Ovis aries: one gene and its partner. Each later gene encodes a partner of the first gene's protein in a complex. Links are inferred from orthologs where the notes say so. Each region holds a gene or a part of one and is shown on either strand. Other genes may lie near its edges. The genes, in order: GRB14 and INSR.

Evidence for each region.
Region 2: the proteins of GRB14 (region 1) and INSR are in contact, whole or in part, in a crystal structure (PDB 2AUH), measured with the Homo sapiens proteins. The link is inferred for Ovis aries from reciprocal best matches to the Homo sapiens genes GRB14 and INSR. Residues at the interface, in NP_004481.2 of Homo sapiens: Glu373, Asn374, Ser375, Leu376, Val377, Ala378, Met379, Asp380, Phe381, Ser382, Ser386, Val388, Ile389, Glu394, Val398, Ala399, Glu401, Glu402, Gly403, Leu404, Trp406, Arg407; in NP_000199.2 of Homo sapiens: Leu1065, Arg1066, Ile1069, Glu1070, Lys1112, Arg1116, Arg1163, Met1180, Arg1182, Tyr1190, Lys1192, Gly1193, Gly1194, Lys1195, Gly1196, Leu1197, Leu1198, Pro1199, Val1200, Trp1202, Ser1207, Leu1208, Lys1209, Asp1210, Gly1211, Gln1235, Asn1242, Glu1243, Leu1246.

Annotation. Positions count from the first base shown.
Region 1 is NC_056055.1:144,978,769-144,982,877, forward strand, and holds the start of GRB14 (growth factor receptor-bound protein 14), read left to right. Parts: upstream 1-1,309; 5' UTR 1,310-1,449; coding exon 1,450-1,640; intron 1,641-2,896; coding exon 2,897-3,029; intron 3,030-4,109. UniProt on the Homo sapiens protein: Adapter protein which modulates coupling of cell surface receptor kinases with specific signaling pathways. Binds to, and suppresses signals from, the activated insulin receptor (INSR). Potent inhibitor of insulin-stimulated MAPK3 phosphorylation.
Region 2 is NC_056058.1:13,930,100-13,939,677, reverse strand, and holds the start of INSR (insulin receptor), read left to right. Parts: upstream 1-3,411; 5' UTR 3,412-3,896; coding exon 3,897-3,996; intron 3,997-9,578. UniProt on the Homo sapiens protein: Receptor tyrosine kinase which mediates the pleiotropic actions of insulin.

The DNA of each region.
Region 1 (4,109 bases):
GATTCTGTAGGCTCTTTGACTCAAAATTTTGTGCCTCTATGTAGTACTACAGATTTCTCACAGGCTGGGGATTAGCAAACCCTGGGCGTCGGCAGTGGTTGGTGCCACGGGGTGTGTGTGTGTGTGTGTGTGTGTGTGTGTGTGTGTTGGGGGTCACACAGATATGGAGCAGGGGGGTTGCCAGTGTCTTTAGAAGGCAGTGTTTGCCTTTCCCTGGCAGAGGTTGTGAAGGTTAAGAAAACCTGGTTAACAGAAGCCAGGGACAGATGTTACCTAATTTGGTCAAAGAACAAAGAGTGTATAAAACATTTGGAAACCCGGAACAGTGCACTGGGATGGGGCACTTATTGGAAGAGCAGAAACAGATTTACCACTCAGAATTCAGAGTAGGGCGACTGCATCTCAGGTGAGCATAATGTAATTACCACTTCAAGCAGTCTGGATTTGGGGCATGGAATCTTTTGGGTTGGAAGCTTCACTGCACTACTTCACTAGCCCTGTCTTGTACCAGGTACTCCATGACTTGGAGCCTCAATTCCCTTATCTGTAAAACGGGGTAAACGTCTAATTTATGAGGCCGTTGTGAGGTAGAACGCGACTAGGCAGAGTAGGGGCTCATTCGATGGGAGCTGCTCTTATCAGAAGAAAATGAATAATTTTCCTAATTCCTAAGAGGTCAGGTTTACTCATACCTTACTCAGAATTCTCAAACATCTCCGTAGTTTTCGGCACCGATTGTACTGCCTGTTCCCCGTCCACCCCTTCTCCCTCGCCGGTGTCCTCAGCTGCAGAGTGGAAGCAAGAGGCACGTGGGGGAAAGACTGGGACAAACCTGGTCCCCCGCTCTCCTGGCACGGTGGGCCTGTCATGGCGGCCCAGCGACAGCTCTCCAATAGCAGAGCAAGAAGAATGAAAGGTCTAGGGGGTCAGGGCTGCCCAGACCCCTGCCCCGCCTGCGCTCTGCCAGGCTAGCCCCGAGGGAGCGCCCGATCACATGGATCCCGCCTCCCGCGACGCGGATCCGCCCCGACCCCGGGCTCAGCCTCGCGCTCCGGCGCCCACCTGGGGAGCCCGGGGCCCGAGCCTCGAGGGCCGGCAGTCAGGGGCGCGGGCCCCCAGCCAGCGCCCCCCAGCGCCACGGACCGCGAGCGGGGCCCGCCCGGCGCCCTCCCCGCCCCCTCCGCGCCTCGCCCCGCCGCCCGCGGCCCCCACCCACCCGCCGCTCCTCCCCTCTCCCCACCCTCCTCCTCCGCCCCCTCCCCTCCCCCGCCGCCTCGCCTACCGCTCGGCCGAGCGTCTGAGCCGCCCTGGTCCAGAGCGCAGGCGGCGAGGCCACCGCACCTGCAGCGCGCTCGGGCTGCCGAACCGGCACCTCGCCTCCCGCCGCCGGATCTCCTTCTACCCCCACGCCGGGTCTCCCATGACGCCCGAGTCCCCCGGCCGGCGACAATGACCACTTCCCTGCAAGATGGGCAGAGCGCCGCGGGTCGGGCGGCTGCCCGGGACTCGCCGCTGGCCGCCCAGGTGTGCGGCGCTGCCCAGGGGAGGGGCGACGCCCGCGACCTGGCGCCGGGCCCCTGGCTGCACGCGCGGGCACTCCTGCCCCCTCCGGACGCGACCCGCGGCTGTGCGGCAGACAGGTAGGCAGCCCTCGGAGGGCGCGGGGGAGTGTCCTGGGTTGGCAGCCGGCGAGGGGTGAGGAGGCGGTCCTAGGGGGTGAGCCATGTGCCCAGATCTGGGCCAAGTTTGAGAAAGTCTCAGAAGACAATTCCCTTTGAGCTGGCAGAACCTACCGGATGGGCAGGACATTGCGATCTCCCAGCGCCTTATAAATAGCATCACCGATTCATTGAGAGCTCCGGGTCGCTCTCGCCTCTGACCATCGATGTGAACTAGGAGGCCAGGCTCCAGGCTGACCACCCTCCTTCCTTCTTTACTGCGTTAAAAAACAAAATAATCCCTTTTATATATTATAAAAAAATCAGAATAAATCAGTTCGCCTCCCACATGGAGTCTTAGAGCGACCCTGGAGAGGCAAAGTACGGATTGACATTTGAGCAGTCTAGCTGTTCAGCAGGAAAGAATAGAGGCTTTAAAGTGTTTCCCAATCTCCATAGCATTCAGCCCTAAGTGCCTGTAGAATTCACAATTTCACACATACTTTAGGAAAGAAAAAGGCTGCAACAATACAAAAATCAATAGTCCTTTATATTCATACATTTAAATGATGTCTTTTTTTTTTTTTTTCTTCAGATTTTCAAAGTGCTTCAACTTCACTGAAGTTAAAATTACTCTGCAGTGGACCAAAGTACATTAATACTAGCAAGTTCTATTCATTTACCTCCTCAAAAACACTGCCTTGCAGTTTAGTATCTATAAGCACTTGAAAAATCAGCAGACTGTGTGTGGGCCACATTGTGAATGAAATTTGAAGTGAGATGAACCACAGCTATAATTAATAAACCATAACTTTCAAAAGTGATTAGTAGAATAGAATAGGGATGAGTTCACTAAATGTTTATAGACTGTCAATTTAGTGGATGCAAAACAATGTCTAACTCCTCAGGATGATTTTTACTTCAATAATTCTCTAGTCTGTATGTCAGTTTCAGGAAAATTATCAGAAGTGCTGGAAATGGGGCTTCCAGGCCTGGTGATTTTCTTTTTAAAGGCCAAAAGAAAAGAAAGGAAGAAAGGAATGCAAAAGGAGATTGATTTATATCAATTGACATGTTTTATTCTGACCCACAGAAAGTACACCACAGACTTTTCCTGTATACTTTACATTAGTATTGTCACAGAGTGGGGCATTCTGGCCTTAACTTTTTAATCCTGACAGCAATTATATTTTACATTCTGTTTTATGTAAATTACATCCTATGTTCTCTCCGTGTAGGAGAAAAAAGAAAGATCTTGATGTTCTGGAAATGCCATCTATTCCAAATCCTTTTCCTGAGCTATGCTGCTCTCCATTTACATCTGTGTTGTCAGCAGGCCTGTTTCCCAAAGCAAATTCAAGGAAAAAACAGGTATGCATTTTAAAATGTTCTAATTAAACAATCTTAGAAGTTCTATATCCATATAATCTTTAAGATAGTAACTTACAATATTAGCAAAAGGTTAGCATGGCCTATTTTAAATAGCTCTATTAACTGACATAGTTCTTTGCCATTAGTTCCCTTTAGGGTCTCACTTTTCACATCTGTATAGTGGGTACATTAAAACATACCCATCAGGCTTTTGGAATGGATTAAATGAAAGAATATATGTGAAGTACAGAGCCTAGGAGCTATTATTATTCACATTGTAACTGGAGAGTTATATATGATAACAACTGATCAATTTTAACTCAGAAACTGGAAGAGCTGGTAGTGATTTAGAGGGAGAAGGGAATTGACCGGTTCTTTTAATACCTTCTTTAATCTTTCATATTTTCAACCCAAGCCAAACTTATTTACTAAAGGAAATTGATTATGGTGAATCTGTGGTGAAAGGTAAATGGAGTTTTGGACTCCACAGGTTTTCTTTCATTTCAGCGAATTCCTCAGTTTGGAAGTTTCTGACTGCAGAAGACAGATGACTTGTAAGTGATGTTTAGCTTATGGACTTAATTTTTATGATTTTCTTTCAAGTTTCTAGTATGGAGCTGACTTGAGCAAATTAAACTTCAAGAACCAAGCAGCTGTGGGGAGATGCATCACAATTATAAAAAAAAAAAAGTGTTTCCTAGGTTAATCCCATCTCTTCTGAATATACTTCATTCTAGTCTTGAATCAGCAAACAAAGAGAAGCTTCACTATGTACCTTGTTCTTGCAAGGGTTGTTGTTCATAGTCGCTAAGTCGTGTCCAACTGTGACCCCATGTACTACAAACAGCACACTAGGCTACTCTGTCTTTTACTATTTCCCAGAATTTGCTCAAACCCATGACCACTGGGGGCTTCCCTAGTAGCTCAGTTGGTAAAGAATCCACCTGCAATGCAAGAGACCCCAGTTCAGTTCCTGGGTTGGGAAGATCCCCTGGAGAAGGGAACGGCCAGCCACTCCAGTATTCTGGCCTGGAGAATTCCACAGACTGTATAGTTCATGGGGTCGCAAAAACTCGGACA
Region 2 (9,578 bases), on another chromosome or scaffold:
ATCCAATGAACAGAGGAGCCTGGCGGGCTACAGTTCATGAGGTCACAGAGTCAGATACGACTGAGCAACTGAGTACATACCTGCCCAGACGTCCAGAAAAGTTGCACAAATAGTGCAATTAATCCTTATATGCACAGTTTATCAGATTAACCAATTTCATCACACTTTTAAAAATCACACCTGCTTTGTTCTTTCTCTGTCTCTTTCTCTTTTTTTCTGAACCATTTGAGAATAAGTTGCAGATATTATGTTCCTTAACCCCTACACACTTCATCTGATGTTTATTACCTAAAGCCAAGGACATTCTGTTACATCACTTCAGTAAAAGGATCAAAATTAATATTGATAGAGTATCACTGTGGAACTGATAGACTCTTTTCAATCTTTCCCACTGTCCCAATAATTTATTTTATTGCAAAAGAAAATCCAGGAGTAACTTTGATCATTTTGTTAAGCCAGATTTTTCTTTCACAAAGCTACCATTTTTCTTTTTTTGGACAAACATGCTGCGAAGAGATACTTGCAGACCATGGAAATACCCCATTACTTTTCAAGCTTCCAACCATCACTTTTAACGTTCATTGATGGCTCTTGCCAGAATCAATTATTTTGGAAATTAGCAAATGGTGATTTTCTACTTTCATTCCAATGCTTTTAAGAAGAGGCAGAGGTTGACTTTCATTTTTTATATCCTGGTATTTTTTTTGAGGGGGTGCGGGGGTAGCTTACAGAAGAAATAATGAGCTTTTTTTCTTCTGGAAGTGGAGGTGTCTTCATTTTCTCCCAGTAAGCCACAACTACAACGATTCTTCTGACTTTATACCCAGCTTTATGTGGAGGTCTTGCATCCTGAAGGATTTCCAGAGGGCAGTATGTCCCTTGGAATTTTAGCAAATGCCACCTGCTTGAAATTGTTGGTGGCTTTTCAGTCAGTTGACTTCAGTCGCTCAGTTGTGTCTGACTCTTTGCAACCCCATGGACTGTAGCATGCCAGGCTCCTCTGTCCATGGGATTTTCCAGGCAAGAATACTGGAGTGGGTAGCCATTCCCTTCTGCAGGGGATCTTCCAGACCCAGGGTCCAACCTGGGTCTCCTGCATTGAAGGCAGATTCTTTATTGTCTGAGCCACCAGGGAAGCCCAACCCTTTGGTATAAACCCTTTAATGCATCCTTGTTGCTTTTAGGATAAAGGGTGTGTTGAAGACAACCCATACATGGTATATCCCTTTTAGTCTCGCCTACCAGCCCAGCCTTCCCCTTTTCTTTCTTTGCTTTCTTTTCTCCAGCTACAGTGCCTGGCTCAGTTGTGAGAACACTGGCCTGTCCTCTGGGCCTTTGCACACGCCGTTCCCTCCACCTGGAACATTTTCTTGATGCTTCCCTGGGCTGGCTCTCTCTCCTCAGATTTCAGTTCAAAATCACCTCTTTGGAGAATCCTTCTGCCTCTCCCCACCTCACCTTATAAAACATCTGATGTGCGACTTAATGGCTTTCTCCTTACACTGGGTTGTGAGGTCTACAAGGAAATGAATGGTGTTTATTTGGCTCCCTGCGAATCCCCACTGCTTACTGCATGTTGATTTTTCCGCTCAACAAATATTTATTAAGCAATGGATATGTCAGTCACTGGGTGTAAAATACTGAACATGATGGACAAGATTTCTGCCTTCCTGGGGAGGGGTGAATACACACAATAAGTCAGAATTTCAGGTAGAGACACCAGCGTGCTGTCTGGACAGGAACAAATGGAGGAGGGGACAGGGAGTGTTTGCAAAGTTGGTCAGGGAAGGCTCACTGGAACAGACAAGTGGAGCCAGACACCAGAAGGACAGGGGAGGCAGGAATAGACTTGAGTTAGAAGAACAGTGGGCCCATCTACTGGCAAACTAATATTTGTTTAATAGATGAAAGGAAGAATGAATGCCCTCAGCCAACAGTTGTTCTGGGTGCTTTGTCATGCTTTATTTCCCCTGGGAGACTGTGTGTGTGCATGCGTGTGCGTGCTCCGTTGTGTGTGTGTGTGTGTGTGTGTGTGTGTGTGTGTGTATGCACACGAGCTCAGTCATGTCGAACTCTTTGCGACTCCATGGACTGTAGCCTGCCTCTACCCATGGGATTTTCCAGGCAAGAATACTGGAGTGGGCTACCATTTCCTCCTCCAGGGGATCTTCCTGACCCAGGAATCTAACCTGCGTCTCCTGCATTGGTGGGCAAATTCTTTACCACTGAGCAACCTGGGAAGCCCTTGCTGCTGCTGCTGCTACTGCTGCTAAGTCGCTTCAGTCGTGTCTGACTCTGTGCGACCCCATAGTCGGCAGCCCACCAGGCTCCCCTGTCCCTGGGACTCTCCAGGCAAGAACACTGGAGTGGGTTGCCATTTCCTTCTCCAATCCATGAAGGTGAAAAGTGAAAGTGAAGTCGCTCAGTCCTGTCCGAGTCTTAGGGACCCCATGGACTGCAGCCTACCAGGCTCCTCCCTCCATGGGGTTTTCCAGGCAAGAGTACTGGAGTGGGGTGCCATCGCCTTCTCCGGGAAGCCCTTACAACTCACCAAATCTGACCTGAAGGTGTCCTTACGTGCATCATACAGATGAGGCCCATCGAGAGAGAGAAAAATTACTCATTCAAGCAGATTCTCACTCCGTTCTGGCTTCTCTGTGCTTAAGGCCCCTCTTCAGCAGGCGGGGTGGCCACTGTCACGTGACTGACGTTCAAACACACACGGACTCTGGGTCTGCGCATTGAAACTTGGGTGTGTCCACCTGTGTTCTACCGAAGATCTCCAGCGCCTGGTTTGCACTTTTTTTTTTTTTTGCTAGTTTCTACACTTTCTCCTAAGGGTCATTTCTCCACCTTGAACCACGCATCGTGCGGAGGGGCCAGGCTACCCAATACTTGAGCGCACGCGGCACGCTCGTGCACGTGGCTGTCCCCAGGGGCCTGGCTCTGGGCGGGGGCGCACTCTGGGGTAGGACATCCGGGGCGCTCGAGGGCCATACTCACTGGCCAGACTGTGACGAGGGGAAGGTGAACGCAACATTTAAGGGAGTACCAAAAAGCCGAGTAACCACGATAAACAATATTTTAATGCAATATTTAAAAAAATAAAAATGAATTTTCTAAAGTCCCACGAAGAACAAACTAGCAAAATGTTTTAAACACGCGATCCGACTTGCTGAGTTGGTCAATCTGGGGCGCTCCCGGGCTCTGAGACAGGAGTCCTGGGGCTGTACGGGGCGCTGGGGCTGGGCAGGCATCTAGGGCGCCCCCTCGGCTACGGCGCGACGGGGGCCTCCAGCGCGGGGCCCAGGATAGGGAGACCGGCGGGCGGGCGGGGCGGCGCCTCCCCCCTGCCCGTCCTCCTTCCACCCCTCTCGGGCCTCTGCCGGGCGCCGAGTCCCTTCCGAGCCCAGATCCGCGCCGCCTTTTCCCGCGGCCCGAACGGGGCCCAGCTGACGGGCCGCGTTGTTTACGGGCCGAGCAGCCCTGGCTCCCGCCGCCTGCCCGCCACCCGCCAGCCCAGGTGCCCGCCCGCCTGTCCGCACGTCCGTTTGTCCGCGCGTCCGAAGATCGGAGCTCCGGAGCGCTCGGGGCCAAGAGCCTAGAGTCAGGGGGGCGCAGCGCGGGGCTCCGGGCCCTGAGATCGTCGGGACGGGGGCGCGGGCCGCGGGGGCCCGGAGTCGGGACCGTCTCCACCCGGCCGCGCTGCCGGATTCGTAGCAGCGGAGGCCGCGCGCCCCTCCCGGGGCCGTATCTAGAGTCCTCCCGGGCGCAGGCTGCGGGACCTTGGGCTGCCCGCGTGGAAGAGAAGGACGCGCGACCCCCAGCGCCTCTGGGGCGGCCGCCTCGGAGCATGCACCCCGCCAGCCAGCGCCCCGCGCTCTGATCCTTCAGCCATGGGCGCCGGGGGCGGGAGCGGGGCGGCAGCCGTGCTGCTGCTGGTGGTCGTCGCCGCGCTGCTGGTGGGCGCCGCGGGCCACCTGTACCCTGGAGAAGGTGAGTCTGGGGGGTCCCGGAGCGGGCGGGAAGCCGCGCGGGTGGGGAGGGGACCCTTTGCCAAAATGGAACCACCCCCCGTTGTGGACGGAGTGCCGTCCTCCGTCGGAGGGCTGGTGGCTCGGACGGTTTCTCCGGCCTCGCGGGGGGCGGGAAGCCGCTGACCTTGGCCTTTGCCCGCCTGGGCTAGCGGTTCCACGACCCGCATGCGGCCCGGGGCTGGAGGAACCTTGCCCTAGTGCCCGCCCCTCCGCGGGCGCCTCTCCCGAGAGCGCTCCTCGAACCCCCGTGTCTGGGCCTCTCTGAGCCCACCACCTGGCTCCAGAGACGGGACACACGTCCTCTCTGGGTCGCCTCCGAGAAGTAGGGTCATCGGACACTCTCACACAGCCAAATGCCCCGGGCACAGACGGTTTGGAGTGAGAATCGAGGGTGACTGACTGAAGGCAGGGTGGTCCCTTGAGATCCCAGCAGCTTGGTGACGCTCCCCCAGGGGCCGAGGAAGTGTAGAACCCGCCCCTTTCTTTCTGGTATCTAGACCCACGGCTACCCCTGACTTCAGGTCCATGTTTATACTCTGGAATTCTGTTTCCAGATGTCGGAGGCAAGCTCTAGCCCTTGGCAACAGCGCAGCTGTAGTAGCAGTAGTGTTGGCTTTTATGATTATTATAGCTGGTGTCACCAGATGCCTCGGGCTGGCCGGTCTTATCTGTCTGGATCTCTGCAGCAGCCCGTGGAGGCTGATACTGTTGTTGGTCCATTTCATAGAGGAGTAAACTGAGGCTCAGGAAGGACACAGAATTCACTTGCCCCAGAATCAGAGCTAGAGAGAAGACAAACCTCTCTGGCTCTGCCCAGGGCTCTGCCCAGCTGCCCACGCCCCAGGAACCCCTGGTAACCTCCCTCCTCTACCTTTTTACCTGTCAGCTGGGCAGGTCTCTAATCTGTGGTCAGCCCAGCACCTTGCCCCCTCTCCCTTCCAATTCTCCCTCATGAGTGTCCCTGGGCTAGCAGCTCCCTGGTATGGGGAGAGGGGTAAGTCCCAGCATTTTCCTTGGGCTTGACAGCACGTCTTTCTGGCTGCAGGTCAAGGATGGAAAATCCTTGAAGAGAATATAACTGGGGTTTCCCACCATGATGGCGGAGGCCCTGCTTTCAAAATATGTGTTGGGTTACTTCTTCAGATTTCTCCATAAAAGGAAATCAGTCCCGATGAGGAAGGGGTCAGGCAGGGAAGGAACAGAAGTTCCTGAGTTGCCTGTCGGTGAGTGGGGATGCACGAGAAAGCACGTGGGGGCTCTGGAGTTGACAAACCGGGTTTGTGGAGCACCTTTGCCAATTAGGCAACGTCTCCAAGCACCCAAGTGCCTGGTATACAGTGAGTGCTCCTCCAAGGAAGGGTAGCAGTGGATTTAGGCTCTTGTTAGAAAAAAAACACACACACACACACACACAAAAACCCAGACCAGCTGTTAGATCTGTGTCCGGCTTTGTGTGTCCATGCCCGTGTGTGTCTGTGTGTGGGTGCACATCTGTATATGCATGCAGTTCCTTGCTCCTCTGTTCCTGGTAGCTTTAGGAATTAATGGTGGATTTGTGCCTGGGCTGGCTTTCCTGGTGGCTCAGATGGTAAAGAATCTGCCTGTAGGAGCCTGGGTTTGATCCCTGGATCGGGAAGATCCCCTGGAGAGGGGAATGGCTATCCACTCCAGTATTCTTGCCCAGAGAATCTCATGGACAGAGGAGCCTGGTGGGCTACATACAGTCCATGGGGTCCCAAAGAGTCCGATACGACTGATCGACTTTCACTTTCAGGGGTCAGTGGATGGATTTGCCACTTCTTGCATGTTTATAGCTTCCACGAGGGAGAGGCTTATGTTTCTCTGTTCACTGCCACAGTTCCAGAGTCTAGAGCAGCCCCTGACACCTAGGAGATGCTTGATACATTTATTTATTTTGACCGTGCTGGGTCTTCATTGCTGTGCTGGGCTTTTCTCTAGGTGTGAGGATCGAGGCTACTCTGTAGTTGCTGTGCATGGGATGGGCTTCTCATTCCAGCGGCTTCTCTTGTTGTGGAGACCGGGCTCCAGGGCACGCGGCTTCAGTAGTTGTGGCTCGTGTGCTCAATAGTTGTGGCTCCCTGGCCCCAGAGTGCAGGCTCAGCAGCTGTGGCACTCGGGCTTAGCTGCTCTGCAGCACATGTGGTCTTCCCATACCAGAGGTCGAACCCCTGTCCTCAGCATTGGCAGGAGGATTTGTCGCCCTTGGACCACCAGGGAAGTCCTAAATATTTGTTCTAGATCCAACTCCTGTCCTTCCTGTTCTTCCCAGGAGTCCAAGTCATGGCTCCTTTATTCTTCAGATAAAACCTAGCTGACACAAATACAAGCAAATTCTACACACTCGGCATTGATAATCTCGATTAATCCTCACCACAGCCCTCCGAGGTAAGGTTTATCATCCATTTCGAAGGTGAGGAACTTGGATGAGGTGGCAGTGCTGAGATGAGAACTCCGGTTTGTTAATAAAAGGTTTCTTAACAGAAGGTTCTTCTTGGGACTCTGAGCCTCCCCGCCCTAACCCCTGTGGTATAAAGGTTAACAAAATACTCTCGAATAAATGACATGTGATGCCCTTCGGAGGTTTGGGGAGGGGCAAGGAACTTTCCGGATCGTTGGTTAATCTCCAGCAGCAAGCAGTGTGGCATTCTGTCTGGGGTGGGGGTGGGGTCGATGGAGATCAGTGGGATTTTGAAGGACTGAGGACTCTCTCCTCGATGTCACATGGGATGGGCCAGCCCATTTCATCCCCCCTGTGGAGTCTCTGTGGCTTGGCTGAACTGGGCAGTGGTTTTCCCTCCCATGTCTCCTTGGGTTGACCCACTCTGGCCCGAGATGACCCAGGAGCACTGCAAAGTCAGAGAATGAAGGCAAAGTGGGATTAATTATAGTGGAAACTGAATCTTGGCAGGGGCAGTGAATTGATGAGTTGAGGTGCTAGATGTTGCTTTTGGATCCCCTTACATCTCGAGGTGGAATCTAGTGTTTCTCTTGTGGTTCTCTGGTGCACTCTGGGACCCTCAGATCAGAACTTCTGCTCTCTGGGTCAGTTCTCTGAGGTTCTTCCTAGTCTTTGCTTCCCTCCTGGTGACCTGCCTCTCGACCCTGCCCTGCTCATTCATAGAGGTCACTGGGGGCGAGCCTCACCCCATGGGCCCCCACCTCACTCCACTTCCTCATTGACATCCTTTATTTTTTGGCTAGAATAGACCTTCTCAATTTCTGTGCTCTTGATCTATGAGGTTGGATAGTTCTTGGTTGCAGGGGGCTGTCTTGTGTATCTTAAGATGTTGCTCACTGTCTGCGGTCTCTGACCAGTAGCAACGCCCCTCTCCAAGTCATGACCACTAAAAAGTGTCTGCAGACACCACCAACTGTCCTCTGATTGAGAACCACTGCTTTTGGTGCTAGTGGTAAAGAACCTACCTGCCAATGCAGGGGACACATGAGGTGTGGGTTCAATCCCTGGATCAGGAAGCTCCCCTGGAGGAAGGCATGGCAACCTGCTCCAGTATGCTTGCCTGGGAAATCTCATGGACAGAAGACCCTGCCAAGCTGCAGTCGATGGGGTCATAAAGAGTCAGACACGACTGAAGTGACTTAGTATGCAGGACACTTATCCACTTAGGTCCCCTCCTCTCTCCCCTCTGTTCAGGGATCTCCATCCACCCAGAAGCCTTTTTCTTTTCAGCCTATAAACACTCAATACTCCCCAGGACCCCGGTACCCACCACCCACCTTTTGCCTTCCTCTGTCAAGCCTCCCCCAACCGCTGATGGGCACTCATCACCCTTGCTCTCTCACCTTTCACCCACTGCTCTGCCCACAGCATCTGGCTTGTGTCTCCATTGCTTTGCCCATGGTGCTAACCAAAGTCATTCCTCACCTACCAATGGCAGCCTCACCCCAGCTGACTTCTCTGGGTTTTGCTTCCCCTCTCCTGGTGAGTTTTCACCTGTCCCTGGCTCCTCCCATTCTCTCTCTTCTTTTCCTCTGCTCCTTTTCCGGGCTTATTATCTTGGCCTTCATTGACGGCCATTCCCTACTCTGACTCTCTCTCTTACGCTCACTTGTTAATTTATATGTGGTCAAAGTCTTTAGAACAGGGGTCGAACCCTGCCCGCCCACGCCTGTTTTTGTAAATAAAGTTTTATTGGCACGCCGCCATGCCCGTTGGTTCACGCATCCTCTATCGCTGCTTTCGTGCTCTAAGGGCAGAGTTGAACGGTTGTGATCGCGTGGCTCCCAACAATATTTACACTTGGGCCCTTTCCAGAGAAAGTTTGCCGACTCTGGATTTAGAACAAACTCCTCGAGGATCGTTATGACATGCCTCATAGCTTGTGTGGTCCCTGGTTCGACTTTGAATGAATCAAGTTAAATGAAATGCCCAGGAAAAACACTGTGTTTTTCCCTTTACAGATCAAGCCTTATTAAAGAAACTGATACCATTTGCTGTGCTGAATGTATGGGTTCTGATGGTGAGAAAATAACAGTGATGTTCCTTCTTTGGGTGTGTCTGTCTGAGAGATCTTTGAGTTTATTTGTTTAAACCGTCTTCTTGGCATTGAATGAGGACTCTGTGCTATCAGCCCTGTCTCTAGTGCCAAGAGAAAGTGTTATCTGCTGGGAGATACCACTTGCGGGGCCTCTTGAGAACCCCTTATGTAAATTTCTATGAAGAACACAGTGGGAGTGACTTGCTTTATGTTTTGCAATTGGATCATATTTATGGTTTTCAAATTAAAATAATAACTGCATTCTCATTGCAAAAAAAAATTGCACAAGTTTACCGGGGGGAGGGGGGAATAAAAGTTCCCTTTTGTCCCTAAAACCGCTGTGTTTCTGTCGTGGGAGATGACTACGCTATGTTTGGACTTCCCAGGTGGCCCAGTGGCAAAAAATTCACCTGCCAAAGCAGGAGACACAGGTTTGATCCCTGGGTCGGGAAAATGCCCTGGAGAAGGACATGGCAACCTACTCCAGTATTCTTGCCCAGATAATCCCATGGACAGAGGAGCCTGGCAGGTTCAGTCCCCTGGGGTCCCAAAGAGTCAGACGTGACTCAGCTTATACATGTGCACACGCACACACACAGGTGCGTGTCCTATTCTGGTGTGTATCTTTTTGTTTTGTTTTAAGTATTTCTTTCTTTATTTGGCTGTTTCAGGTCTTAGTTGTGGTGCATGGGCTTCTCTCTAGTGGTGGCATCTGGGCTCTAGAGCTGGGGGTTTCAGTAGTTGTAGCACACGGGCTTAGCTGCCCAGCAGCATGTGGGATCTTAGTTCTCCCAACCAGGGATCAAACCTGTATCCCCTGCATTGGAAGGCAGATTCTTAACCAGTGGACCTCCAGGGACATCCCTGTTTGGTGTGGATCTTTAAATATTTTTATTATAAAAATGGTGGTACAGTAAATCTGACTTTTTTTTTGGTGTGTACAGGTTTTGCATTTTAATCCCTGCGTAGAACTGTGTAGCTGTCCCCACAGTTAGGACACGGAAGTGTCCCATCTACCGCCACC